7 linked regions of the Cricetulus griseus genome follow. The main gene of each other region encodes a partner of the protein of the gene in region 2 in a complex. Links are inferred from orthologs where the notes say so. Each region holds a gene or a part of one and is shown on either strand. Other genes may lie near its edges. The genes, in order: Lsm7, Sart1, Lsm6, Lsm5, Lsm3, Lsm8 and Ubl5.

Region 1 (4,015 bases), on a different chromosome or scaffold from region 2:
GCCTGGTAAAAATGAGGCAGAGAGAGCTGAGGACTGCTGGCAGGGTGGGGAGCCCTGACACACTTTCAAAAGCTCATGCCCAGCCAAGAGCGGGATGTGGGGACAAAAACGTCAAAGGGGGATGTGGGCCACATGGTGGAGAGGCTAGGAACGCCACGCCTGGGTAATGTCTTAACTTCTTAGCCAATCAAGGAAGAGCATGCCAGTTGTGCCAGTGTTGGGAAGGCTGAGGCTCAGTTACAAGTTCAATGCTAGCCTGGGCTATAAAAGGAGATCCTGTCTCAAGATTTTGTAATCTTGAAAAAAAAAAAAAAGTATTTGAAAGAACGATCCAGACCCAGGGTCCATGAGAGAAGATGAATATATAGAATAACGTGCACAGGCCACCCTGTGGGCCATCCGCATTAGAACCCAGCAACTGCCCCGTGTGCCCGAGGCTGCAGCCCTTCACGAACCATTGGGACTGGAGCCTGATGCCACAGAAACAAACAAGAAATCTAACAACTAAGCCAAGTGTTGTGACGCAGGCCTGGCATCCCAGCACTTGGGAGACTAACAGGGTGTTCAGGGCCAGCCTGGGCAACATGGCAAAGTCAAGAGACCATCCTGGGCTGCAGCGCTTGTGGGAGGCCAGCGCGCATTACAGAATGAGTTCAAGGCCAGCATGCGACTGTGTCTCAGCAAGCGACGCTCACCAAACGTCCTGCCTCGGCACCGGGTCGGGGCGCATCCCGCGGCACCCGGAGGCCCCCACGGGTCCCCCGCGTGTTGCATTGACTGACCCAGAGGTGAGGAACCCCTCCTGCCCAAGGTCACGGAGCAGAAGCCGGGATGCAGGGCTGCAGGCACCCGGGGACCCTCCCGAGCCCCTGGGGGAGGAGGACGGGGACTCGCCCCATTCTGCAGAAGAGGAAACTGAGGCTGGCAGGGGCGGCGGCGGCAGTTGGGGCCCCGGGGCGCAGGGCGGGCTAAGCCCGGCCCGAAGTCTGCGGTGGCGACAGCGAGGGGACGACAGCAAGGTCTCGGCCACGGTCACGAGTGGTGCAGCCGAGCCGACCAGCCGTGGCGCTCACCTGGGCCGCGAGCAGCAGCAGCAGGGCCGCGGCGAGCCGCGCCGCCGCCATGTCCGCCTGTCCTGCCGCAGCTCTAGGCGGAAGGTTTCCCGGCAACGCCTTCGGGACCCCGAGACGCGCACGCGCCGGCCCTGCGCGTGCGCGGGCCCGCCCCTCGCTAGAAGTGGGCGGTGCGGAGCCTGCGCAGAGCAGCGCAGGTCGGCAAGATGGCGGTGAGCATTGCTGGGTCGCGGAGAGAGCGGGGTTCCCCCCGAGGGACTGTAGACGCGAAAACTGGGGGCACAGGAGGACCAAAGAGAGGGGGGCGGACACCCGAAGACGGATAGGGAGACAGGGACGCGGAGGAATAGGAATCACGTGGGACTGCACACCGGGCGTCTTGAGGAAGCAGACCGGGAACCTGGGGAAGCAGACCCGGAACCTGGGGAAGCAGACCCGGAACCTGGGGAAGCAGACCCGGAACCTGGGGAAGCAGGCGGGGAACCTGGGGGTGCAGACCCGGAACCTGGGGGTGCAGACCGAGGAACCTGGGGGTGCAGACCGGGGAACCTGGGGGTGCAGACCGGGAACCTGGGGGTGCAGACCGGGGAACCTGGGGGTGCAGACCGGGGAACCTGGAGGGTGCAGACCGGGGAACCTGGGGGTGCAGACCGGGGAACCTGGGGGTGCAGACCGGGGAACCTGGGGGTGCAGACCGGGGAACCTGGGGGTGCAGACCGGGGAACCTGGGGGTGCAGACCGGGGAACCTGGGGGTGCAGACCGGAGGGGGAACCTGGGGGTGCAGACCGGGAACCTGGGGGTGCAGACCCCTGGGGGTGCAACCTGGGGGTGCAGACCGGGAACCTGGGGGTGCAGGCAGGGGACATGAGGATATACACAGGGGGCATGGGAATAGAGAGAGATGCAGACTCAGCGACCTGGAATTTAGTTGGGGGAACATGGGAGATGGAAATGAGTTTGCAGACAGTTATGAGGGCTGCAGGATGGTCAAAAGGAGTCGCTGGGTGCCGGGTCCAGGCAACAAGGATATGGGAAGACTGGGTCTCACTCCTCAGCTCCTCCACTCTCCAGCAGGACAAAGAGAAAAAGAAGAAAGAAAGCATCTTGGACCTATCTAAGTACATTGACAAGACCATCCGAGTGAAGTTCCAGGGTGGCCGGGAAGGTGAGTGGATGCAACAGGGCCCCTAAGAATCGGGGTTGCGACAAGCAAGGGAAAGCCTCACAAGGCAGGCATTTTAACTCTTAACAAAGGCTAAGCTTGGGCCATCCTGTTACTTGAGAGGTACCAGTATGTCTCAATTGTGGATGGGGAAAATGAGTCCCAGGGAAAGAAAGCCAGGTGCGGTAGCACCCACACCATTATTGCTGGAGCCTGAAGGAAGAGGCCAGAAAGCTGGGAGGACATAGAAGAAGGAGGCAACAGGGGGATGGAAGGAAGGCATCCCTTCAAGAGCCTGGAGGTAGCAGGGACCCAGGAGGTTTCCAGTAGCAGGATCAGGGAAAGTTCCAGCCAGTCTGAGCTATGTGGCAAGACCTGTCTCCAAAAATCAACCAGGGCTAGGCTATAGCTTGGTGGATAGAGGGTTGGTTTAGTGTGCATAAAGCCCTGGATTTTATCTCCAACACCATGGAAACCAGGTGTGGTTGTACAAGCCTGCTATTCCAACCCTAGGAAGGTAAACACAGAATCGGGAAGTTCAAGATTATTTTCAGGTTGCCTAGTGAGTCTGAGGCCAGCCTGGGCAAATGATACTCTCTCATACAAATGGGAGGGGAAAAAAGGCTATTTTGTGTTACATGGAAACTATACAGAATTCAGTTTGGGGGATGATAACATTTTATTGACACTTGGTCCACCATGAACTCACTATCTATGGCCCCTTCCACACTTGTAGGAAGAGAGTTGGGGGTCATAGTCAGCAGGCCACCACATAGGGACATGTCTCCCCATGAGTTCTGTAGTGATAACTGTCCCCATGCCTGGGTCTGTAGTGGGAGGACAATAACATCATCCTTACCCATCTCTCCCTTCAAGCCAGCGGGATCCTGAAAGGGTTTGACCCACTGCTCAACCTGGTGCTGGATGGAACCATTGAGTACATGAGAGGTGAGCTGGCTGTGGTTGTCCAGGGATGCCACCAGGCCCTGTTTCTTCTCCACACCTGTGCAGTCACATTGCCGCAGGTGGTGCTGACCTAGGGTGCAGGTCCCTCCCTGATCACCAGAAAGGTGACAGGCCCACCATGATGGCCCCAGGCTTGAGATTTCAGCTCCTTCCCCTCAGCCCTCCTGGGGATGGCAGAAATAGTAGCTACTGTCCTCTGTCTGGATTGTTTGCCTGTGTCACCAGCTCCAGGACGCATAGGATCTCAGCTTATTCCAGAATAGTACCTGTAATGCCCAAAGAGTGTCCCTTCCTCTGCACCCACAACAATTACTTTCTAATTGCTCCCTGTCTCCACCTCTGGTCCATCCTCCCCGGGGCCTCTGCTTCCCCTGCAGACCACTCCTTGGGGTGAGTATCTGCCCTGGGTTCTTGTAGTATCCATGCCTACAGTCGGCTCTGAGACCCCAGGGCCTGGGTGTGTCAGTCCCCAAAAGAAAGATGGGACAGCCCTCTGAGGTCCTGGTTGTGGAGTGCTGGGTGGAAAGGACATGTCTTCAGTTCCTCTTGCCTGTCACCCCCTATTCCCACCAGACCCTGATGACCAGTACAAGCTGACAGAAGACACACGGCAGCTGGGGCTTGTGGTGTGCCGAGGCACCTCAGTGGTGCTCATCTGCCCACAGGATGGCATGGAGGCTATCCCCAACCCCTTCGTGCAGCAGCAGGATGCCTAGGTGGAGAGCGATCTGGCCCCAAGGACCTTCCTTCCTGTGTGAACTTTGTTTGGTGTTTTACTTTTGGATTTTGTTTCTGGTTTTTTATTTTGTTTTT
Region 2 (4,265 bases):
GGCCTCCATCTGTGTTTTTAAGGAGCCACCGGTCATTTGGAGTAGAAATGGAGCACTCTTTTCAGAACCCCCCAAAGATAGAAGCCACCAGCCATCAGTCTGGAAGACTCTCCTCCCCGACCCTGAACCCAGCACAGTCCCTGAGATAAAAATTAAATGCTTATGGCAAGTATGGTGTGAGACTTCTGACGGGAGTTGGTTATGCATTGTGGGGCGGGGGGGGGGCAGTGGTAAGTGGGTGGCCTGGACTTAGCTACTTCCCACATATTCTGGGAACCCTGGCTGCACCCCTTCCTCGGCAAACACATGCTGTCTCTGCTACTGAGTGGGACACCTAGAAATGCTAGTGAACAGGTCCACCTCTGAAGACTCAGTAGTAGAGCAGAGCCGTAAAGGAGCAGGAAAACCATACCAAAACACGCCGAGGTGTGCTACACAGGAAACCCACAGAGGAGCAACTAGTAGCAGAAGGGAGTGTGTGAATCCTTAACTTTAAAGCTCATCTCCTCAAGACCAAAACAAAACAACCAAACCAAACAAGCAATCAACCAAATAAAAAAGCCCAGGAAGAGAGAAAAGGCTGGGAAAGCAAGGCATTGTGGCTTGTGCCTGTAATCCCGGACTGAGGCCACATAGTTAACGGGACAGAGGAAGGAAAGAGAGAGGGGGGGGGAGGGAGGGAGGGAAGAAGGAAGGGAGGAAGGAAGGCAGGCAGGCAAAAGAAAAACGGATCTGCCCAATTTGCACTTGAGCCTGGCTTGGGCGAGCATGCCTGAAATCCCGGCCACTCGCAGCACACGGGAGGCTGAACCAGAGGGTTCGAGACCTGCCAGGGCTACGTAACAAGCACTAGGCCAACCAGACCTATATAGACCCTATCTTAAAAAGAAAATTAGAAACAAAAACAGCACTCAATTTCACGGGGTTCACAGGCACAAATTCATAGTGTTCCGTAGCAGTCCAGAGCTCAGGTTAAAAAGACCCAATCTACCAATCCAGGGAAAGTGGGCGACGGTAGCATTCGCTGGCAACAGTGGTTTATTGGGGTTGCAAGTCTGGGGCTTTGCAGCTGGTTTCTTCAAGAAGAAAACATGCGGTATCTTCCAACCCCGGACGGATCCCCGGCCCCGGGGAGCCTACGAGAAGGACAATCACTGGAGGAGGGGACGCCCACGAAGAGGCTTGAGGCACAGAGCGCCACGAGGCTCTCGGAGTGGAAAGGTCAGGGAAAGAGCTCCCAGCTCCGCAGACGGTGGCTTTTAGCACGATTCCAAAGCTGTTACAGTTCTAACCCGGGAGAGCCAATGCCGACCCCGTAGCCTCTACAGGTGCACATGCGCAGAGCCAGTCCCCGGGAGCCGGGAATGCGCAGTCTCAACCCGTCCCTCCCATGAGCCTCTGGAGGTTCCCAGGCCGGCCCCGGAAGCAGCCGCTCTTAGTTTCCGGCAACAGCGCAGCGGCGGCCGCACGACCCGGAAGTATTCCCATTTTGCGTCGTCTGGGCTCGGGTGGCGGCCCGGCTCCAGACGGACGCACTAGTCATGGGGTCGTCAAAGAAGCACCGCGGGGAGAAGGAGGCGGCGGGGACGACGGCGGCGGCCGGTACCGGGGGCGCCACCGAGCAGCCGCCGCGGCATCGAGAGCACAAGAAACACAAACATCGCAGCAGCGGCGGCGGCAGCAGCGGCGGCGAACGACGGAAGCGGAGCCGCGAGCGTGGGGGCGAGCGCGGGAGCGGGAGGCGCGGGGCCGAAGCCGAGGCCCGCGGCGGCGCGCACGGTCGCGAACGAAGTCAAGCGGAGCCCTCGGAGCGGCGCGTGAAGCGAGAGAAACGCGATGACGGCTACGAGGCCGGTGAGGGCGGGGCGGGGGCGGGGCAGGGGCCTGGGGTGCGCGGGACGGAGGGTGCAGGGTGACCGCCAGGGCCTGTGCCTCTCGGGCTGAAGACTTGCTCCGGCTGTTGGGGACTAAAGACTGACTCCCCATGTTAAGCTTCGGAAGGACCGGGGTCTTGCGTTTCCCCTTCCCGTCTGGCACTTGACAGTAAATGCGGTGGGTGGGCGAAAGGAGGAGGTGCGAGCATGCACAGACAGAGGCAAGAGAAACCTGACAGTAGGTGGAATCGTCATGAAGCAGTAAGATACGCTTGGGTCTGAACACCAAGGACCCTGTGCTGTAAGCTCTGTTGAGAAATTTGGGCTTTGTGATGAAGACGGTAGGGAGTCGAGGATTTGAGTAGGGAAGTGGGTTGATTTACTTCATATGTTAAGATCACACTGGATTGAGCTGGGCATTGGTGGCGCACGCCTTTAATGCCAGCACTCGGGAGGCAGAGGCAGGCAGATCTCTGTGAGTTCGAGGCCAGCCTGGTCTCCAGAGTGACTGCCAGGATAGGCTCCAAAGCTACACAGAGAAACCCTGTCTCGAAAAACAAAAAAAAAAAAAAAAAAAAAAAAGGATCTCTGGGTTGAGAGCTTGTCAAAAATAGGACTACAGACCCTGAGATTAGGAGGGAGGTCAACCCAACCAGGTGAGGACTAACAGTGAGTATGCATGTTTCTCCATGCAGTAGGGTGGAGAGACTGGAAAGATTGAATAGGTGTTTAGGAAGTGCAATGAACAAAATTTAGTGCGTGGGCTAAGGGGATGGGAGGGATGAGGAACAGGGAATGCCTCCTGGAGTTTTGACCTTACCCGCCTGGTGAATGGTTTTCATCTGTTGAAGTTGGTGTTTAGAAGACTAGCAGATTTGAGGCAAGGGAGAATGACCCAGTTTGGGAGAGCTTTGGTCAGTGTGTATGGGAAAACCTACAGTTTAAGTGGGATAGAGTGATTTGAGGCTAGTGTGTATTCAGGAATCCAAAGTGCCCTAGAGTGTGTGGAGTGAGAACTAGGATCAGAAATAGAACTTAGTAAATGCCAATAGCTCAATTGTGGGCAGAGAAACATACTTAAAAAATAAAGAGTAGCCAAATGGCAAGAACACTACAGTTGGGTCATAGGATCTGTACAAAGAGATGATTGTTGAAAAGACAGAGTGGTTAAGAGCATCACACACCACAGGGCATTATGCAGAACCAGAACTTGTAAACAAAGGGTTGTTTTCATTTTATGCATTTGAGTGTTTTACCTCCATATGTGAATATGCACTTGGTGCATTCCTAGTGCCTGTGGAGGTTCAGAGGAGGACATTGGATCCCCTGAAAATGAGTTAGGTGGTTGTGAGATGCCATATAGATTATGGGAACCAAACCTGGGTCCTCTGTAAGAACAGCAAGTGCTCTTATCCACTGAGACATCTCCCCAGCCCCTAAATTGAAACTTTTTTTTTTTTTTTAATAATCTGCTAATTGGAAAAAGGGAGACTTGAGACTTGAGAGTTCATATAGAAAATGGGGTCCAGAGCCTAGGTGGAGGAGGAAGGGTTTAAAGAGCAGTGAGTAGTGTGTGACAGGGGACTTGGGCATCCTGGTGGCATCTTCCTCTGTATAGTGTTTATTGAAGTTCTCTCCTGTTTGTGGGGTGGATAGATCAGGTCCAGAGTGCTTCCTTTCCTATGTCCATAGCATCTGGCATGGAACACACACTAGTAAGTATTCCATACACTGCTGTGGGCAGAAAGTGCCAGAAATGACAAGCAGTGCTGTGCCGTTCTAGGCAGAGTTTTAATTCTGGTCAGTAATTGAGCAGGGCTTCATGGAGGAGATGATACTTGCTCTTTTGATAGAACTTTATGAGAACAAGAGCAGAAGGGACTGTGGAGGCTGAAGGTAGAGTGTGGAGATTTGGAGTGGCACAGTGAGGGATGCAGAAAAAAGATAAGGGCCTGGGTAGCAGCTGCAGGGAACCCTGGGGGAAGAAGGCTGCTGTTTTCTGGTGTCATCTACCCAGGTGCTGGTGGGGGCCCTTGTCTTCGACCTTGCAACTGAAGACCATGATGTTGCTTCTTGGTCCCATGTTCATGGGTTCCTTAAGCCGTGCTCCTTATTGTTCTAGCTGCCAGCTCCAAAACTAGCTCTGGAGATGCCTCGTCACTTAGCATCGAGGAGACCAAGTGAGTAGCCCTTATGCTGTTTTGATTTTCCTCTGAGACTGGTTGCACCTGGGGCTGTTACCTATAGAAACTTTTTCAATCTAAATGAAGCCAGTTAGAATTGGAATGGCCAGATGAGTCATACTGCCAACCATAGGAGCTACGTGGAAGAAACTGAGACCCAAGAGGAAGGATAGTCTTCCCCAGTCAGGAAGCCTGTTCTGGAAGCCTG
Region 3 (3,500 bases), about 100 Mb from region 2:
GGAGAATAGAATAAATGATATTTAAGATAACAGGGTTGTCAGGCGGTGATGGCACTGGCCTTTAATTCCCATACTCGGGAGGCAGAGGCAGAGGCAGGTGGATCTCTGTGAGTTTGAGGCCAAAGTGAGTTCTAGGGAAACCCTGTCTTGAAAAACAAAACCAAACAAAAAGATAACAGGGTCCTGGTCAGTAAAGCAATATTTCCCAGCTCTTCATCAGTAAAGTGAGAAAGAGAATTTCTACTTCCAATCCATAGCAAATTCTCTTTCCACACACAAATAGAACTGGTTTATACAAAGATCTAAAATACAAGTACAACAAACAAACAAACAGGAATACAAGGGAACTTTAACACCATCTAGAAACTCCCCAGTGCTCTATTACAGGAGGCTGTTACCATTGTTTCCTCGGATGAATGCATCGCCGTACTTATTCTTCAGCTGTCCATTTACATACTCTTCCGTCTGTTCCAGTGCTATGTTCATGTAGCCATCCAGGCAGGCCAGGACCCCTGGAGAAAACAAAGAAAGAATTGAAAATTACAGGGTATATCTTAGAACTGACAATCACTTTATTCATTAGCCTTCAAACACATAGGATAAAAATTCACACTGTAAACAAAACTCAATAGACGTAAACACAAAAGGAGTCTTTACTCTGTGCCGATCTGAATGAAGGCTGCATGGGCATAGCATGAGAGGAGTCACTGCAGCCACAACTCCAAGACAGGCAGCCAACTGTCACTCCCCTCCTGGTATGTGTGATCACCACAGCAACTTTGGAAGCCTTCACAAAAGTATAAGCATTAGATTATTCCAACCAAAATGTCCTTCTTGGAAGCTAGGGGCAGACATAGCAACTACACATGGATAAATGAGCCTCCACCCAGTGACATTTGTTACTTTAGCCACTAAGTGAAATACGGATCTGGCAGATTTATCTCACTCTTGCACAATATCTCCTGCAGCAGATGAATGTGCCCTGGGTTAAGAGGAAGTCTCCACAATCTGTTAAGATAATAGACAGCAGGTGCCCCTGAAAGCCCAGCTCAAAGCTACGACTCCATCGAAGAGCAGCTTGAGAACAGAGAGCAACATATTGCATTGCGACACATTGCATTCTGTTCTGTCAGAGTTAGACTATTTTTAAAATCAAAACTAATAGAGAAAAACGGCTACAAACATTCCAGAGAGCTTTCAAGGAAAACAGCTCGGGTGACTCATTAATTGTGTGGAGATGGAATATATTTCCAAAATCTGACCAGATGACGTTTTTTCAAAAGACGAAGCCAGGAAGCTTCTAATTCTCAGCCTGTAATCTAAAGTGATACTTGTATGAATAAAAAACACACTACAGATTCAATTCAATTAAGTAAGTCAATAGTCCCATTTAAAATCTTAACTTCATTAATATGCTCCTCACTCTCCGCTTCTGCCCCCATTATCCTCTAAACAGAGGTTTCTTTTCAAAACTGTGTGTATGTAATCAGAGCACAAGACATTAGCAGAGCAGAATTCAAACAATCAGACTAGACTGTTGTCAACTATCAACAACAATTACTTCTTAGCCAAAGGAAGCTCGAGACACGGTTTTATTGTTTGCTTCTGCCCTACTATGTTACACTTAAAGCACATTCACAGACTAGGAAGAAATTCTAGGATATGATATGGAATTAGCCAAAACGGTAATTCAAAACATAATGCCACTTTTACTCACTGTTAGTAAAAATATCTGATCTCATAAAAGTTAAAAGATAAACAAGGAGGTTTTGCTCAGCTGTAGGGCATTTGCCTAGCGTGTGTATTGTCCAAGCTGCAAAAACTAACACAAAACAAAAACCTGCTCAGGGTGTTAAAGTTGTAGCTCTTCCTCTTCTCCAAGATCAAGAAGAGAAATAACAAGCTAAAGAACTGTCACAGAACACTGGGTCTTTTCCTCTTCCCTTCCTTTTCCTTCTGTTCTCAGGCTTCCACTATGGAGACCAACTCACAGGGACCCACCCCCTCTGCTCCAAGTGCTGGGACTAAATTAAAGGTGTGCACACACATCCAGGCGCGTTCTTTTCTTGTTAGAACATTATTGGTTATTGTAGTAAGAGAAAAAAGGCTGCATAGGTGGCTGTCCTGTTCTGTGGTCAGGGGATTGTCTCCACACAGGGGAATACAGTGAAACACTGCTTCCCATTACTTGCCCAGAAGGTATAAACAACAAATTAAAACATGTATTATTACTTTTATAAACAGAAACACTTTCCCTAAAGAAAAGGCTAAGACAGCTAACATCCTCTTCAAGAAGTGGATGCTGAGAAAGTACCACACAAAATGTGTCCAAAGTTTATGGCTGAAAACTGGGCAAGGTGGCACACACAACCATAATTCTAACCCTCAGCATGTGTAGCACGAATAATAAAAATCCAGAGACAGATATTGGGGTTCAAGCTGAAGATTAGAAAAGTTCTCACCTCTAGCAAGGCTGGGGCCATCCTGTACTTGGTGTGACTGCAAACTGAATACACTGCACTCCTGTCTCCACTGGACTTATATTCCTCTCTAGTGCTGGGATTAAAGGCGTGCACCACCCCCACCTAGTCTCTATGGTTGACTAGTGTGGCTAGCTTTGCACTGTGATCTCCAGGCAAGCTTTATTTTATTTGTTAGATCATAAACAAAACATCACCACAGGATTGGGAGGAAACCAAGGCAGAAAGAGAACTTGCCTGAAGATGGCTGGATAGCATGACAAGATACTGATTCAAAAAGCAAGCAAGCATACAATCAAAAACATTGGCAATATTGTCTATTACTGTCAAGAAACCAAGAACAAAGTGATTTTCCCCTTTGTTTTTAAAGATCTCATCTTACTTTTAGTGATATGTGTGTGTGTGTGTATGTGCAGGTACATATGAGTACAGGTATCCTTGGAGGCCAGAGGTGTTGGTTCTCCTGGAGGTGGAATTACAGGAGGCTGGGAACTGCCCAATGTGGGCACTTGGAGCTCCCCAGCACTGGGATCCAGTGGAGTTACTAAATGTTTATTTTAGTTTTATACATGTGAGTGGTTGTCTGTGTGTGCGTTGTCTGATGGCCAAAGAGGTATTGGATCCCTTGAAACTGGAGTTAGAGGGTTGTGAGATCCTCCATGGGTGCTGGGAACTGAACCTGTGCCCTCTGCAAGAGCAGTCAGTACTTTTAGCTGCTGAAGCAGCTCTCCAGCCCCTCCAGTGATTTCTTAACAAAGCTTTCCAGTCAGGCTTGTGTACATCCTGGCTTCTCACTTCCCCAGTGAGGATAACCATAAAATCTCAGTTTATGGAAAACAAAGTGACAATGTATGTATTGAAGTGATTAACATATGCTCAGTTACATGTAAATATTCGGACAAGGGAAAAACCTTAAGGAAATTTAGGAAAGAGACAAAGAAACAGCTACAAAACTTTGCTAATGAATTAGTTACCACTCTCTGTCAAATAGTTTAAGTAGTCTGGCATATCTTAATTCGA
Region 4 (4,124 bases), on a different chromosome or scaffold from region 2:
TCTTGAAAAACCAAAATAAAAGAATGTATTTGTAATTGCCCCGACACCTAGTAGGTACACGAGATTTATGGAATGGGGTTTGTGGGGAAAAGCCACCACTGGCTTGAAATTGAGAATGGAGTGGAGTTTCCAAGGATCCCTAGAGGCATTGCTTTATCTATTAAACTTCATAGTGCTATATACATACAATTTATTTGTCCTTCTTCTCACTCACTCTTGTAGAAGACTTTTCTGTACATTGCTTTATATACCCAGCGAGCTGCTAATTAAACGGTGTATGAGGGGTGCTTACCAAACACTGTAAAAATGAATGGTGTTGATTATGATCTCTCCTATTCAGATTGTTTAAGTCCCTCAGACACAAATGAGACAACCGAAGCTAAAGAATTTGCCTGCTGCTTTTTTTTCTTTTTAAGTAGGGACAACCCAGGTCTCATGAAGTCATGAATGCTAGGAAAGCACTCTAGTGCTAAGCAAGGTGGTTAAGCTCTCATTAGTTTTTATTTCCTATTTCGTGTCAGGGTCTTACTAAGTTGTCCATGCTTGGCAACTGTGGCCTCCTTCTGTTTCTTAAGCGCTGGGATTGCTGGCCACTCCTCACAGCAGCTTTTTATCTTTTTCCAAAACACAAGTGTGATAGCATGTTTTCCAAATGTGATGACACCAACATACGGAGTGACATCTAGCAGTTACCTGTAAATCAATAAGTGTTAGTAACTGCAAAAGCCTGCAATAAACTAGACTTCTAAAAGGACAAGAAGAAGCCGGGCATTGGTGGTGCACGCCTTTAATCCCAACATTGGGGAGGCAGAGGCAGGCGGATCTCTGTGAGTTCGAAGCCAGTCTGGTCTCCAGAGCGAGTTCCAGGACAGTCCCCAAAACAATACAGAGAAACCCTGCCTCGAAAAACCAGAATAAAATAAAGTAGCAAAAATTAAAAAAAACCTTTGAATACTCGGTATAGAATATTTTTAAAAGATGCTTCGTAAGGGTTTTCAGTACTCTAGGCTTAAAAGTACAGGATTCCTTAAGAAAATGAGTAGTAGTTGAGACAAACGCAGAACGAGTTGGTGATAGCAAATCCTCATTGATTTTATGGCTCTGAAGAAAGATCCAACCTTTTAGAGGAAAACTAGCCGACTCAGAGATCTCGTATGTTGTAGTCTTCAGGCAGATATAGAGGAGACAAACTGTCAAGTTAGCAAAACTTCGGGGGCACGGGATGGTGGCACCGATATAGTGCGGAACTATTCTATCGAGTCTGTCGGTGATCCATTTGGATACCCCGCGATCGCCAGATCTGCCTCCGATTAGTTCCGTCTGAGCCAGTTGTGGGAAAGGGCGGAAGCGCGCTCTTTTAAAGTCTGCGCCCGTAGCCCTATGCCACTTCCGGCGTGGCCATGGCGGCTAACGCGACCACCAACCCGTCTCAGCTCCTGCCGCTAGGTAAAAGTCTCGCCCGGGGCGCGGGCGGGTTGCTGCGGCCCCACGCCCGCGCCGGAGGCTTGCCCCTGGGGCCGCTGCGGAGACCGAGCCCGTTGTCTGTCGGCGGCCGGCGGGGGCCCCACTTGGTGAAGGACGCCCTCGGCCTTGCTTGTGAGCTCGCCGGTTAAGATGTCCCGGTGCCGGCCCAGCTCGCAGTGTGGCCTTTCCGGTCTACACCTTAGGGAGCCCCTGTATTGCATTTGGCGGTGTGAGGAGGGCGCCACGGTCTACAGTGACTCCTAGAAAGAAATCTGGAGACTAGCTCCGTCATTCGTTCGTTCATTCATTCATTCATCCATCCATCAAGCAGTTCCCTCCCCGTGCCAGGGTACTGTTGAATAACGAATTTAAACTACGGCCATTGCTTTCAGATAGCACACTGAAAGACTTCGTGCCGAGCAGTTCTCGGTTGGCCACGGAGATGCTCAGGTTGGTCTCCAAGCACAGAGCTAAAGGCAAGATGAGAGAAGTGACAGGAAGCTGGTGTCGGTCGTGAGGCCTCTCCTCTGTCATGTTTTGGCGCCGGTGAAGTTAGTCAATGTGGCAATGATGGAAAGTTCTTGCAGGGTCCACTCCAGGGTATGTTCATCGGCAGAAACACTGATGAGGAAAAACTAACATGGTTTCCACCTTGTGGTGTAATTGTTTTTCATACATTAACCAAATAGTCAAAATCACAGTCCCGTTAGTTGCAGCAAAAAAGGAGGTAAGCGAAGGCCAAGACAAACATTTGTGCTAATGGCTGAGCGGAGATTTGTGTAAGATGTAGTTATTTAGTGACTGCTTTTTGTTTCTCTTTAATGATACGGAAATAGTAAAGTGAGCACTCGAATGCTTGTTGAACTAATAAGTGGGTAAAACAATCTTTTTCTTTCCACAGAGCTCGTGGACAAGTGTATAGGATCAAGAATTCACATTGTGATGAAGAGTGATAAAGAAATTGTTGGTACACTTCTAGGATTTGATGACTTTGTCAGTATCCTTTTAAAAAGTGTTCATGGAACAGGTTTTTAAAGATGTATTAATATAAGAGCTGTAGACAGATGACATATTTCTGTTTATTACATTAAAAATTATTTATTTTCCAGGAACTTGGTAACATTTTAAGAGGTGTGCTTGCAGAAAGCAGATAGGGTTCTCTCCAACAACAAACCTTTTGAATTTGCACCATTGTGTTGAACATTTTTGCAACCAAACAAAAACATAAACCAGAATAAATTCAACCTTGTTTATTTTCTTAACAACAAATTTCAGATATGGTGTTGGAAGATGTCACAGAGTTGTGAGTAGTATTAAAAATGACAAATAAATGGGGGAGGAGAGGAGGAAATATCTTTTTGAATTAAAGGCAGGTACCCTAGTTCCTTTTCTGTTACTGTGAAGAGACAGCATGGCCAAGGCAGTTTATAAAAGAGAGCGTTTACTGCGTGGGCTTGCTTACAGTTTCAGAGGGTTAGAGTCCACGTTTTTTCATGGTGAGGTGTGTGGAGGCAGGCAGGCAGGCAGGCAGGTGTGGGGCTGGAGCAATAGCTAAGTGATTCTATGTTGAGATAACCATGAGACAAACAGAGAGCCAACTGGTTATAATTTATTCTTTTGAAACCTCAAAGCCCACCGCCACAGTGACACACCTCAGACAAGGCCACTCCTCCTAGCCATTCCCAAACAGTTCTGTCAACGTGAGCCCGTGGAGGCCATTTTCATTTAAACTACAATAGCAGGATTAGTATGATGGATAAAGTATTACCTGTTGGAATTCTTTTAATGCTGACTTATTTACCGGTATTTGTGAGGTTGGGCCAGAAGATTATTATCTTAATGTCATTATTCCTGAATTTCTAAGAAATTAGTGTAAACACGCTTTATAGTGACTTTACATTTACTTCTATATTATATCTTTGTAATATATCTTTATATTTACTTCTGTATTTATGAAGTTTTATATTTACATAACTATTATCTGGTGGGCAGACTGTATTGCTGAAAATTATTGTAATTGTATGAGTTCACATTCATTCATATGTAAGAATAACAGTTTTGATGCTAGGGATTGAACCTAGGGCCTTGTGCTCTGCCACCCAGGTGGTGCTCTGCCACCGAGCTAACCTCTTTACCCCAGGAATAATTTTTAGAGAGGAAAAGCGTTTCCAAAATAATTGCCTTTGAATACTTGTTTATCCTGACTCCATTTTTTATCTATTTAGTGAAATTACACCAGAAGGAAGAAGGATTACAAAATTAGATCAGATTTTACTAAATGGAAATAATATAACGATGGTAAGACATTAAAGCTGTTTTATTTTGAATTTAATTACTTTTATAGGGCAGGGATTACAGAACACTGCTGCTTAGCTCAGTGTTCACGGTCTAGACATGCTGAGGATGGGAAGGGAGCCTTCAGTGATCAGTGCCCCAACGCAGCTATTGAAAGAGCATTGGGCCTTAAGATTCATTTGCTTATTAATCTTTATTACCTTTAGTTCATCAGGAACCATTGTTGAAACTCTTAAGCATCAATTAATGTTGGGATTACTAGCAGATGTTGATGATCTGGGAAATGGGAATTGAAGGATAGGGGAGAGACAGTGGTGGCTTTGGTCCATGAGGAGCACATGGGGAGTTTTAGGTGGTATGATAGT
Region 5 (4,032 bases), on a different chromosome or scaffold from region 2:
TGATAGGGAAACATCTGGTTTTGAGATAATTTAAAAGACTTACATGTAATCTGCCTCGAAGCTCTCGGTCGTTTCTCATCTTCACATAAATTCGCTCATCCAAACTGAGCCTGATGAGATCCAGGGGCTCCTCTACGGTATTGGTAGTCTGTTGCTGATGAAGGAAACACACTTAGTAATGGACCACCAGAGGCAGAGTGGTGTTTCAATCACTGTTAAGCAGTGAAACCAAGGGCTAGTCACATAACCCGTTTATACCTTAGTCTAATTTGCCAAATGCAGAAAATAGTGTCTCCCCAATACTATTATTTTAAATGACATATGAAAGCTTAGAACGGTGCCTCGATGCTATGTAAAAGAGGAGAAAAACATTATGTGGAGAGGAGTTAAGTAGCAAAATGATGACTGAACTTCCAAAAAATCCAAAGTGTTAGAGTACCACTTAGGAACCTTAGCTTTATCTTTTGTATAATTCAATCATTTGAAAAACATACCTGCAATACCTATTCACACACTACTAAAAAGATCTGACAGAATTTGAAGTCAGTACAGCGCAGGTTAAGTTTAGGGTGCTAATTGGCTGGCAAGATGAACCTACCTACCGAGTAGTATAGTATAGAAGTTAAAAGAACTGAGTCATTAGGAAGCCTTTGTTCAATTCTGGGTTCTGACCTGGCTCTTCTGAACTGGGATTAAAAATCATGCCATTTCTTGTTTCAGACTCCTCATTTGCAAACTGGGGAGACCACATCTTTGCCTCAGAGATCTTATAAGGACTAAAGGGTCTATCTGAAGTAAAAAGGAAACACTTCTAAATAATTACCTTTTTTTTTTTTTTTAAGAGGCATGCCCATGACAGCCTTTGATGAGCAGCAAGTCTTTGCCTCTCAGATGCTGGGATTGGGCAGGTATGAACCGAGTCTGGAACTTTTAAGAGTGTGTGTGTGTGTGTGTGTGTGTGTGTGTGTGTGTGTGTGTGTGTGTGATGGGGTTCAAGTAGCTGTCAGAAGACAACTTTATAAAGTTCTCTCCTTCCTCTGTGTGTCCCAGGAATTGAACTCAGGTTGTCACGCTTACAAACTGCAAGCATTTTTACCTGTTATCTTACCAGCCCCACTCCCAGCACCTGTAATTTCTTATATTTAATATAATCTCTTGCTTGCTTCAAGATTTAAGAATGCATTCTTGGTCAGTCATTTCAGAGGAATGATAAATCAGAATTACTCTTCAAGAACTGTTGGAACAGGTTTCAAAGGTTAGAACTGGGATGACCTGGATTCAGCTATATGAAAGAGGTGGTTCCAGCCATCAAGAATTAGTAAGACCATTCAGCAAGCTTCTCCAGTGAGTACCTGGGGTCAGTGAAAGCTGAAAATTGTAGGCTGTGTAGATATGAGGCTGATGACAGGAAACAAACAACCCTCCCAGAACACCCCCAACCCCGGATCTCAACTGGTGCTTTCCTCCTCCCACCTTAGCTCAGCAGGCTTTTGTTAAGAAATCAGACAACCAACCACTGGATTACAACAATACAGAAGCCGCATCCCCTCAATGGAGCTCACTCTAGTATGGAGAGGGGCATATAAATACATAGCTGCAAAACAATGAAATCTGTTCCCACGACAGCCCTCTTCAGTCTAGGATGGCCACTGTCAATCCTTTTCACCCTGTAAGCTTTACATTCTGCCTTTTCAAAGAAGCTGCCCCTGAACATTGGGTTCGTTCCCTCAACTAATAACCTGCTGAGTGCTAACAGCACTGTCCTAAACCTAGGAAAGAAAAGCAAACACAGAAAACCCCCCTTTATTTTAAAGGTTTACTTTTATCGTGTATGTGAGCAGTTTGCCTGTATGCATGTGCACCACACGCTGACACAGTGCTCGGTAGCAGAGGCCAGAAGGGGGCAGAGGATCCCCTCCTGCAACTGGAGTTAAGATGCGTTGGGGTGCTGTTAAGCCAACATGTGGGTGCTGGATCCCAACCATGGTCTTCTACAAAAGCAACAAGTGCTCTTAACTCCTAAAGCAACCTCTCCAGCCACCCCCGCCCCAATGCCCCTATTAAGTAACTTACGTTCTAGTTATGGAAGAAATGTCTCAGATAAAGAAATACATATTTAAAATAACATGCTCTGTTATTTTAAATACCCGTGTGTGGGTGCGTGTGCGTGTGAGGGAGTGCAATCATTTCGGAACTCCACAGGTAGCTAAGGAATAGGGGGAAGAGCAGGTGAAGAGGGCAGCCTGTGATCCTGTGTGCACCCGATCTTGGCTTGCTTTCTCCAGACTACATCTCCACCAGGTTCTCTACCTCCCTCCCTCCCTCCTACTGCACTCCAAGTGAGCCGCTGCCTGCGCACCAGGCGCTTGCACGTATTACAAAGCTGGTGTCCACCACTACCTCACGCTTTCTGTCTGGTGTCGACAGCCGTTTGCATTTTACAGATAAAAGCCGATGCCGAGCGTGATGGGCAGATAGGCGGGTTGAGAAAACTCTAGGCCTGCGGAAGTTTCAGGAGCCGGCGCGGCTACGGAAGGCCGTGGTTCCTCGGGACAAAGAGAGACGGGCCGCTTCTCAGCGAGCGTGGAAAACGCGAACCCGACCTGGAAGCGCAAGCGCTTCCTCTAAGAGCGCCTCCGGACAAACTTACCTGATCTACGTCGTCCGCCATGTTTCAAACGCTGCGCCCTTTCCACCTCTCGCGAGAACAGGCACTCAGAAACGCAAAGGGTTCCACTCTCGGGAAGTAGACCTACTTTATTTTTGTCCCTTTGCGCCCCTGTAGTTTGCAGGGGGAGGGGTTTCTCCGGAGGGCGTGGTCCCAACCTGGTCAGGGGGCGCGGCCCAGGCATGGCCCGCCTCGGGGCGGGGCGAGCACGCGGAGAGTGTCTGCGGCCGGCTGGCTGCGGTAGCCCGGAGTGTCGCTGCCGGGCAGCATGGCTCCGAAGCGCCCTGCGGGAGGAAGGCGGCGGGGGCGCGGCCGAGAAGCCGAGAACAACAAAGCAGCCCGGCCGGAGGAGAGCGAGGCGGGTGAGAGGCTGCGGCGCGCAAGGCGATGGTGGCGGAGGCTGGGGCGGGCAGCGGGGCGGAAGGTCTCCACGGCCGGATGCGCGGCGCCCCGAGGGCCTCTACCATCAGCCCTGACCCCACCGTAACCCCTAGGACCAAGTCCAGCCTCTTGGCAAGTGTTGAGGGCCGATCAGGAAAAAGCTTCCCTGTTGCCCGGTGTCAGAGAGACACCAAAACTAGGACAGAGGGAGACCTTGTAGTGTGAGAATCTCTCTCCAAGTTGCATCCACTGTAATTCCGGCCCCAGGTTTGCGATGCGCTTCTTACCTTGGTCTTGAACCAAGGAGAAGCTTAAAATATTCCCATCTCAATAAATCACTCCTTCACCCACCTGTTAAAACACGCCTTTTCTTAACTGCTAGTTCGTCAGGAGGTCCAGTTCAGCTTCGGAGTCACTGAAATATGTGCCTAATTCTCTTAATTTCATAGCTGGTATCCTGTTCCTGTCGTTTTCTAGTTGAGTGAGTTCCCCTCTACATCAGATCTCCATCCAGCAGCCAAGTGATGTAGAACGACAACAAAACTTCATATGCCTTGGTCTTCTTACTTAAAACCTTCTTAGATGTGTGCTCTCCGTGTATAGCATCTACCTCACTTAGCATGTCTCTCTTCCAGATATTCTTATTTTAAACAGCAGCCCGGCCTAGAGCTCTGGGTTTTTCCTGTCTCATCCTCATGATCACAGGGATTACAGATGGCTCTTGGTGACTGCCTTTCTCTTCTTTGAATATACTGTTTATTTATCTGGAGGCTTGGCCTTCCATGTTTCTTTGCCTTAGAATGTTCTCCGTCGCTGTTGCTGGGTCTAATTTCTTCTCTACTTGAGGTCTAAGACATTCCACGGTCATCTTAAAGTAGTCATTCCTAGGTATCCTCCACCACAGAATCACAGTGATGTTCCTATTCACCTATCATTCTACAGTCATCTTCATTTCTGATTGTTTGAGTACAATGTAAGCTTCA
Region 6 (4,100 bases), on a different chromosome or scaffold from region 2:
ACACACACACACACACTGTTGTGCCCAGATTTCGGAATCCCCAAAGAACCTGCCAACAAGAAGACGACTCACCAAATGCAAGGATAAAGGTTTCTTTATTGACTCAAGGACACCAGCTGCAGCAAGGACCCCATTCGTTTGGGAACAAAGGAGTACCCACTTTCGACTGAGGGGTGTTTTTAAAAGGGAAAATTGTAGGGCTGGAAGCCCCAAGATTACATAACTTCAGTAGTTACACAGGACAGGACAAAGATTGTTATGCTTCATGCAAGGTTTAATTAAGCAGGATACTGCAGAGGAAATGGGTTTGTTAATAGTCTCCTGGGCTGGGGACTTCTACAATTGATAACTATCTGATCCTCTTTGGACCAGAGGAATGTGAGTGCCATTCTAGGGTGTGATATCTGGTCTAAGGGCTTGAGTCCTGAGGCCCTTTGTTTAACCTTGTCTGCTGGACTGCTTTTTGGGAACTGAGTTTTCTTTTTGGGCTTTGGAGTCTGGGTTTTAGATTTTATTAATTTTCCCCTTTCAACACACACTAAAATTTTAAAATATTGGTTATGTACGGTTGACTGACTAACACATTTGTACAGCATCTAAGTGAAATCAGATCAAGAGGAGTTTAAGTGACTTTACAACAGGGACATCAATTATCAGGGATAGAATTAGAACCCAGCCTGGTGCTTAGTTTACGCTTTCCTCTAATCGGTCCCTTCAGAGTGGCAATGTAGACTTTCTTAATTACAACTTTCATCCCCAAGAAAAGCTAAGCCTCGATTTAGCCGTGCAAAGTGACCATCTATCGCGCACACCTTTCCCTCTCTGGAGTTCGTTTCCTTAAGGCTGCTTCGTGACACCTGAAGAGCCAAAAGCAGAATGCACGAGCACTTTTGATAGCTGGGCTCTCCCTGGAAATGCACCTCGTGCGGGCTACAAAGACGTTCGCTTTGCACCGCGCCATTTGTCTTTCGGAACTTTTTTTTGGCTCGCGCTGGAGAAGGCTAGAGCTCCCTTCCTCCCAAGGACGAGCAAACATCTCATCTAGGGCGTCTCCGGCACAGCCGATCTTCCCACACGACCGCGGCTCCCGCCCCTCCGCTGGCGAGCCTCCCAGCGCCTGCATCCAGCCCACACTTCCGCCCGTCCCCGCCTTTGTCCGTCTCCCTCTACCGACCGGCACCCGGAAGCGCGGCGGATGCACGCTGCGCACGCGCGCGAGTCAGTCCCCGCCCGGCTTCCGGTTTGGTCGGCTCCTTGCGAGTGCCGATTGGCTGCTAGGTACTCGTTGGTCTCGCGGTATCTGTGCTCACCGGCGGGCGGGCGGGCGGCGGGAACCGGTACGTGCTTCTGGCGGCCCGGCCGTGTCTCGTCTCCTTGTTGCCGGGTTGTCTCCTGTTCCCGGGACCTCCGGGCCCAGCAGCATGACGTCTGCCTTGGAGAACTACATCAACCGTATCCTCGGGCGGCTGCCCAGGCCGCGGCGGGGCGGGGCGGGGGCGGAGACCCGGGGCGGCGGGGAGGACTCGGGGTTCGGGACCGGCGGTGGGGTCATCCGGACAGACCCGGGCCCTTTTCACCCGGCACAGCTTCCCTGCAAGGAGCCTTTGGCTGGATTGCTGCAGATCCCTTAGGGCTTGTGCGGGCCAGCGTCGGGAATAAGTTGGACCGGTTTTCTCAGGGCTTGCGGTTGGCTCGAGGCTCGCATGCATAGAAAGGTGCTTGGTTCTCCAAGGTGAATTTCGGGCCCCCCCTGGAAGTGTCCATGCGATACCCTTAGAAGGAAAGCCTGGAATCGTGTTGGGCTTCAGTGACAGGCAAGGAGCTCTTAAGATCCCAGGTGAGATTTTAAATTACAAGCGCTGCTGCAAAGTCAGGACAGAAACCGTGCACCGAGCACATCTGGTACAGACAAGAAACTCAGGCGTTCAAAGCAGAGAGCTTTTAAGGAATCCAGGGTTGTTTGTACTTGGTGGCATTAATTATGACCAGGTCTTGGACTAGGGGAGGGGGCTTAACGCGCCACAACGGTGCAACATTGATAGTTACGCGTCCAGTTTTTATTTCAGAGGTGAAGACATTGGTCTGAGAAAGGAAGGGATTGTATCTCTCAGTGTTAGGGATTGGAACCCATTGCTGTTTTAAACCCAGGGTCAGATGTCAGACTCTACCCTTCTCCCATTAGATTTACTGTTTTCAGGATAGAATTGAAACAAGTTTCAAACCTTCAGTTTTGTACCTCGTGAGCAGCGGCTGTGTCGAACCTTCATACCGCCACTTTTTTCTTTTTTAAGTAATTGAGACCATTTCCTTACCAGGCTGAAAGTTTTCACTCTGCAATCTCTAAGAAATACTTTCCTTGACGCAGTTCTCAGGAACCGTCGCCGTTATCACTTCTGATGGGAGAATGATTGTGGTGAGTGGCATTTTCAGTCTGCTTCTTTGTAGGCTTATTGATTGTAAATTTGAAGTTACGTTTCTAATCTAATGCTGAGGTACCACGGTATAACCTCGATTCTAGTGTTCTTATGATCCAGCTGTTTTATTTTTTTAAGAATGTTTAAATTTAAAGTACACAGTGTTCTGCCCGCATGTATGCTGGAGATCCAGCTGTTTTGACAGACTTTTATCTCTTGGCTGTCAATACAGCTTCCCTAATAAACCTTGAAGTCTTCTGATCTGGAATGCAGAGCTGTGCCGACTAATTTTCTTCTTGCATTCTTTTTTTTTTTTTTAACCTCAATTCCTTTTGTTTGTTTTCATTTAGAGCTCTTTAAGGATTTACAAATTATGCATATGCTCTTGTAAGTTGCTTAACAATGGGGAGATCCAATCTGAGAAATGTGTATTCAGTGATTTCATTGTTCTTCAAATATTGTGAGAGTGGTTTCAGAAACTAAGTTAGCTGTGACTTCACTGGGGTATGATCTTTGGGACCATTGCCTCATCTACTGTCTCTGCAATATTTCTTTCACGGCTGTAATTTAATCCCATGTTTTCCCATTCGTGATTTTGTTTTCTTAAAGATTTATTTTTAGTTAGGTTTGAGTGTATGTCTGTTTGTTAGTGTCTGCCATGTGTGGTGGTACACTACACAAGGAGCCCAGAAGAGTTGTCAGATCCACTGGAGCTGGAGTTACAGGCCATTGTGAGCCACACTAGGTCCTTTGGAGGAATAGTATATACTTTTAACCATTTCTTCAGCCTCCTTATCTTCTTCTGAATCCCTTTGATTCTTCTTGCTCTTTAGTGAGCAACACCAGTCAAAGTGATAGACTGCCATAGTAATTGCAGTGCTTATCATATGCTAGGAATTTTGTGTTATTTAGTCTGCAAGGAATCTCAAGAAGAATTATCACTTATATTGTAGATTAGGAACCAGGCTTAGAAAAAAAAAAAAAAAAAAAAAAAACCAAGTTACTTTCACAGAGATTCAGTATAACAAGTGTGTTATAAATTGAGTTTTATTCCAAAACCCATAAAGGAAACAGGTGTCTTAAGGTTTTTTGTTTAGTGGTGGTGAGTTTACACTCTAAATTTGTCAACAGTAGGCAATTTGGAATGTGAAATTAGGAATATGTTTGTTTAAACATTGAAAGAAGTCTGTTGCATTTATCAGATAATTTACAAATAACTGATTTTTGAAATCCTCAGGTTTAAATTTCTTATATTTCTGTTAGAAAATGCTTATAGAAGAAAAGCTAAACAGAAACTTTGTATTGACACTCAGTAGTTCTGTCTTTATCGTACCTGATAAAATAATTGCATATATAATGAAGATGAGAGCACCTTTATAGGGGTTTATGATAACTACCATTTGCCAAGTGCTATAATAAATAGTCTAATTTGTTTTTCTTCCCAATTTCTACATTCCAAGTTTCTATTTATTTCATTCAGATTCTATACAATTATGGTTTTTCAGAACAGGGGGGTTTAAAGGTGTACCCAAGAGATTAACCAGCCAAATCTAAAAGAAGCTATTTCTTCAGAAACTTAAACAGCATTCATTATATTACATTTTGCTATAGCCACAAAATTTTTCCTGAGTATTTCCTTCAAGTTAAGTTCTTGATTATTTTGGTTCTACATATGTCTACTATATT
Region 7 (3,751 bases), on a different chromosome or scaffold from region 2:
TAGTGAAGGACCTGCTTTTTAATACCTCACAATGGAGACTGTATTTTACCCTAGTCTTGAAACCATTGTAGAGATGGTTCAAGATACTGAAACCATTGTTGAGGCTTAGGAGGGTAAAGAAACTTCCCTAGAGCAATTCAGCTGTGGGGCAGGTGTCCTACTCACAGTCTTGTGAAGCCAGACCCTGTTCCAGCTAGCATATCTACCCTCCCTATGCAGGTTAATGGTTTATGAGGACGGCAATACTCACAGGATCTCTGCCCATCAGTGACCCAGAGGCAACAGCAGAGCTCCGGGTCCCATTCTACTAGGCTACTCTTCCCTCATGACTTCACACCTGATCCTTTTGCCTCCATCTCTCAAGTGCTGAGATGTCAGGTGTGCACTACCAGGCCCAGCCTCCAGTTAGTCTTCCTCAAGGAACAGGGTACGGAACTATACCCACCAGACACCAGCTCTCCCCTCCGGATACAACCTTCATGTAAGTATGACAGCAACAAAGCAGCATCAAAGTCTTTATTCATGTGAACTGTTAAAAATGTGCATCTATACCAGTGTCAAATGAGGGTGGGAGAGGAAGGCAGGGTAGTCAAGGAGAAGGATTCCCGTCTATTGGTAATAAAGCTCCAGGTTCATCCCATCATGGATTTCATCTGAAGACAAGTATTAAGGAATTTTCACTGAGGGCTGACTCTACCCTTTACCCACTCACAGTTGGATGGAACCTTGTGGCTCGACAACCAACCTTGGAATAAGGAAGCAATTTTAGAATGTGCACTTTGATCTAAGAATTCAAGCTATAAATAATGTAAGTGACCATCACTGAGAAGGCAAAACTGTTTGTCATCAAAGCCTGGTGTAGAGTCAGATTCTCAAGTGCCCCAGGCCTTCACACACAGCAATAATTAACACATTTTCTTAAATGTTCATACTCAGGCTGAAGACATAGAGCAACAGTTGAAGGGCACTCATGGCTGCTCTTGCACAGGAACTGGGTTCAATCCCCGCACTCACACGACGGTTCCAGGGAATCTGAAGCTTCCTTCTGGCCTAAGTCAGCAGCAGGCATGCATGTGGTGCATAAACGTAATTGCAGCAAAAGACCCAGAACCCCTCCCCTGCCCCCATAAAAAAAAAAATCATACTGGTTGTCCACTAGTCACATCTGAGGTATACTCCACCTCCACTTCCTGTCCAATATCCATGTGCTGTTCAGTCATAAATATTTTGAACCTGAACGTCAAAATCCTTCTGAACCAAGTTAAACTATTCCACCACCCTCCTCATCAACAAAATAACGCCATACTTTCCATTTTCTCAGTAGTCCCTATCTATAGGCCACATTTTAAGTTAAACAACCCTACAGGTTTCAATATAGAACCAGAACTCAAGTATATGGATTCTTTCACAAAAGTCAGGAAAAGGATACAATCTCCCAGAGACACGTGGTCCTTAAAAATCGTGTACCTACGGGACAGACATCTTTCAGAGAGAAGCTTATTTGGCGGGGTTGAGGTGGGCTTTTGTCTTGAAAGCAAGCTGAGCCCTCATCGGGGTTGCCTGAGGCGCTCCCCCAACCGCAACCTTCTAGCCTAATCCCCACCAGCACTTACCATTTTTTAAGGACGATCTTATTCCAGCGGGTGCCAGTTTGGGCTGCTATCAGTTTCTTCAAGTCCCCGATGGTGTCATCGGTGCTGGGCACGAAGGAGTTAAGGTAAATGGAGGGAGGAGGTAGAACGAGGAAGACGGTATTAGGCCTCCCCATCTACGCCATTTAACCACAATTTGCCTAACACCAGCAGCTGCCCCAGAGACCACGGCCGGTCACCCCCTGGTGGATACTTGCACTTGACGCGGACTTTCTTTCCGAGACGGTCGTTGCAAACAACCTCAATCATCGTGACTGCGGCTACACCGGGGGGGGGGGGAGATGATGGGAGATAGCGGAGTCAGAACTCTGGGGTCGCCCAAAGTCCCTTCCCGAGTGGAGTTCTCTGTCCACACCACCCGAACACACATCCCCGGCAGCCCCGTCCGGGGTCTCAGCGGCGGGGACCCAGACAGTCGCGTCTCCGCCCCTTACTCCCGCAGGCCCAGCCCCGGCCTCCGGCTTCGCCTCCCGCCGCTCCCCGTGATCCCGGGCCTCTCAGTTTAGCTCCCTCACCTCTAATTCCCCTCGAATTTATCGACGACACAACTCCCAGCTCGAACGCCGAGCCCTGGCCCGATTTAGGGCTAGTAGCAGGAAGCGGAAGTGATATAACGGAAACATCCGCTGTTAGGTGCTTCCGGATTCCGGGCTTTCACAGACGCGGTTCTGTGGCGCAGTTTGCCGAGCCGAGGCTGGGTTGGAAGACTGTGAGACTGAGCGGCGGTCCTAGTGGATTTACAGCCGACGGTCGGAGCAGTGTTGGCGATCCCTTTGTTGTGGAAGAGACCCAAAGCGTCTGCCATCCCCAAGCCAAACAAACCTCCTACCGCAGAATCCCGGCTGCCCAGCGGACCTGGAGTCGCGCGGGTGCCCTGGCTGCCGCGCTCTCGGTGTTCATTCAAAGCTCCGTCTCGGCCCCTGTGCTTGCCGTTACCCTCTGACTACAGCGACTGCTTCCGAGACCCTAGGGGTGCAGACTGCCGCCGATGAAAGCTAAGCTGTGTCTCGGGCGGCAGGCCGTGCTCCACACCACCCTATGTGTCTGTCGGGGTCCTGCCTGCGAAGATGTTGGAAACACCATCCTGGACAAAAAAAAAAAAAATCGATTTTTTTTCTTCTTTTTTTAATCTTCGAGGAACACCTTGTTACAGATTACAGAATCGCGAGAGCTGATGGGGAAGGAATCCCTCTCTAAATTCAATCAGTTCCCACCTCTCCTGAACGATAACTTCTTAGCAGACAGTACTCAGTAAGGTAAGATATACACATATATTTATTTTTTAAAAGTTGCTTAATTTTCTTGACATGGGGTGTCAATATATAGACCAAGCTGATCTCGAATTTGTGGTACTAATGTCCACCCTCGGAAGTTGCTGGTATTATATAGGCCAGTGTATTAGAAGCTATCCTGGTCTATATAGCGAGTTCCAGGCAAAACTTTGTAGAGAGACTGTCTCAAAAAGAAAAAGAAAAATCTACCAGGGCCTTGTGCTTAGCTAATACCACTTATACAAAATTTATCCTTACGAGTAGGCAGCAGAAAGCATTACTTTTTCTTTTTATTGCGGCTTGTGGCCACGCCTCCCTGGCTTGGCAGTCCTGGCCCCTCAGCCTCACCCCAGTTACACCTTTCGGTCTGGAATGAAGTCCTGATTCACGTCCTTAGTGTTCTGATCTGGTCCATCCTCTTCCCGGTGCGTCGTTCCCGTTCAGAAAATACTTCCCAGGCTCAAGCATACGTACCAGAAAAATGGGGTTTCTTTTTTTTCTTTTTTTTTTTTTTTTTTTTTTTTTTTTTTTTGTTGTTGTTGTTTTTCGAGGTAGGGTTTCTCTGCGTAGCTTTGGAGCCTATCCTGGCACTCGCTCTGTAGACCATGCTCTGCCTCGAACTCACAGAGATCCGCCTGCTCTGCCTCCCGAGTGCTGGGATTAAAGGCGTGCACCACCAAAAAATGGGGTTTCTTACTTTCCTTTTCATTCTCTTCTTTTTCTTTCCTTTCTTTTCTTTGATGTTGGAAATGGAACCTAGGCCTTCTAGCATGTTAGGCAAAGGCTCTCCCACTGAGCTGCACACCCAACTCCTTGCTTAGCTCTTGC

Evidence for each region.
Region 1: Sart1 (region 2) and Lsm7 share a complex: the UniProt entries of both Homo sapiens proteins name them as parts of the U4/U6-U5 tri-snRNP complex. The link is inferred for Cricetulus griseus from reciprocal best matches to the Homo sapiens genes SART1 and LSM7.
Region 3: Sart1 (region 2) and Lsm6 share a complex: the UniProt entries of both Homo sapiens proteins name them as parts of the U4/U6-U5 tri-snRNP complex. The link is inferred for Cricetulus griseus from reciprocal best matches to the Homo sapiens genes SART1 and LSM6.
Region 4: Sart1 (region 2) and Lsm5 share a complex: the UniProt entries of both Homo sapiens proteins name them as parts of the U4/U6-U5 tri-snRNP complex. The link is inferred for Cricetulus griseus from reciprocal best matches to the Homo sapiens genes SART1 and LSM5.
Region 5: Sart1 (region 2) and Lsm3 share a complex: the UniProt entries of both Homo sapiens proteins name them as parts of the U4/U6-U5 tri-snRNP complex. The link is inferred for Cricetulus griseus from reciprocal best matches to the Homo sapiens genes SART1 and LSM3.
Region 6: Sart1 (region 2) and Lsm8 share a complex: the UniProt entries of both Homo sapiens proteins name them as parts of the U4/U6-U5 tri-snRNP complex. The link is inferred for Cricetulus griseus from reciprocal best matches to the Homo sapiens genes SART1 and LSM8.
Region 7: the proteins of Sart1 (region 2) and Ubl5 are in contact, whole or in part, in a crystal structure (PDB 4PYU), measured with the Homo sapiens proteins. The link is inferred for Cricetulus griseus from reciprocal best matches to the Homo sapiens genes SART1 and UBL5. Residues at the interface, in NP_005137.1 of Homo sapiens: Ser117, Leu118, Ser119, Ile120, Thr123, Leu126, Arg127, Leu130, Leu132, Lys133, Leu135; in NP_001041706.1 of Homo sapiens: Met1, Glu3, Arg15, Lys17, Cys18, Asn19, Asp21, Asp22, Asp26, Lys29, Leu30, Ala33, Gln34.

Annotation. Positions count from the first base shown.
Region 1 is NC_048598.1:101,634,295-101,638,309, reverse strand, and holds the start of Lsm7 (U6 snRNA-associated Sm-like protein LSm7), read left to right. Parts: upstream 1-1,215; 5' UTR 1,216-1,279; coding exon 1,280-1,285; intron 1,286-2,145; coding exon 2,146-2,239; intron 2,240-3,112; coding exon 3,113-3,184; intron 3,185-3,775; coding exon 3,776-3,918; 3' UTR 3,919-4,015. Other genes in the region: Sppl2b (signal peptide peptidase-like 2B), read right to left, coding at 1,074-1,124. UniProt on the Homo sapiens protein: Plays a role in pre-mRNA splicing as component of the U4/U6-U5 tri-snRNP complex that is involved in spliceosome assembly, and as component of the precatalytic spliceosome (spliceosome B complex).
Region 2 is NC_048596.1:53,945,599-53,949,863, forward strand, and holds the start of Sart1 (U4/U6.U5 tri-snRNP-associated protein 1), read left to right. Parts: upstream 1-1,465; 5' UTR 1,466-1,541; coding exon 1,542-1,854; intron 1,855-3,996; coding exon 3,997-4,054; intron 4,055-4,265. UniProt on the Homo sapiens protein: Plays a role in mRNA splicing as a component of the U4/U6-U5 tri-snRNP, one of the building blocks of the spliceosome. May also bind to DNA.
Region 3 is NC_048596.1:154,686,612-154,690,111, forward strand, and holds part of Lsm6 (U6 snRNA-associated Sm-like protein LSm6), read right to left. Parts: intron 513-3,500; coding exon 399-512; intron 1-398. UniProt on the Homo sapiens protein: Plays a role in pre-mRNA splicing as component of the U4/U6-U5 tri-snRNP complex that is involved in spliceosome assembly, and as component of the precatalytic spliceosome (spliceosome B complex).
Region 4 is NC_048601.1:84,604,465-84,608,588, forward strand, and holds the start of Lsm5 (U6 snRNA-associated Sm-like protein LSm5), read left to right. Parts: upstream 1-1,324; 5' UTR 1,325-1,400; coding exon 1,401-1,446; intron 1,447-2,365; coding exon 2,366-2,461; intron 2,462-2,739; coding exon 2,740-2,767; intron 2,768-3,689; coding exon 3,690-3,762; intron 3,763-4,124. UniProt on the Homo sapiens protein: Plays a role in pre-mRNA splicing as component of the U4/U6-U5 tri-snRNP complex that is involved in spliceosome assembly, and as component of the precatalytic spliceosome (spliceosome B complex).
Region 5 is NC_048601.1:52,288,973-52,293,004, forward strand, and holds the start of Lsm3 (U6 snRNA-associated Sm-like protein LSm3), read right to left. Parts: upstream 2,801-4,032; 5' UTR 2,672-2,800; coding exon 2,651-2,671; intron 155-2,650; coding exon 44-154; intron 1-43. Other genes in the region: Xpc (DNA repair protein complementing XP-C cells), read left to right, coding at 2,937-3,030. UniProt on the Homo sapiens protein: Plays a role in pre-mRNA splicing as component of the U4/U6-U5 tri-snRNP complex that is involved in spliceosome assembly, and as component of the precatalytic spliceosome (spliceosome B complex).
Region 6 is NW_023276806.1:207,804,434-207,808,533, reverse strand, and holds the start of Lsm8 (LSM8 homolog, U6 small nuclear RNA associated), read left to right. Parts: upstream 1-1,300; 5' UTR 1,301-1,421; coding exon 1,422-1,452; intron 1,453-2,372; coding exon 2,373-2,413; intron 2,414-4,100. UniProt on the Homo sapiens protein: Plays a role in pre-mRNA splicing as component of the U4/U6-U5 tri-snRNP complex that is involved in spliceosome assembly, and as component of the precatalytic spliceosome (spliceosome B complex).
Region 7 is NC_048597.1:133,522,816-133,526,566, reverse strand, and holds Ubl5 (ubiquitin-like protein 5), read right to left. Parts: upstream 2,324-3,751; 5' UTR 2,168-2,323; intron 1,913-2,167; 5' UTR 1,902-1,912; coding exon 1,846-1,901; intron 1,698-1,845; coding exon 1,614-1,697; intron 1,468-1,613; coding exon 1,430-1,467; intron 654-1,429; coding exon 610-653; 3' UTR 501-609; downstream 1-500. UniProt on the Homo sapiens protein: Ubiquitin-like protein that plays a role in cell proliferation and sister chromatid cohesion by associating with spliceosomal proteins. Participates thereby in pre-mRNA splicing by maintaining spliceosome integrity.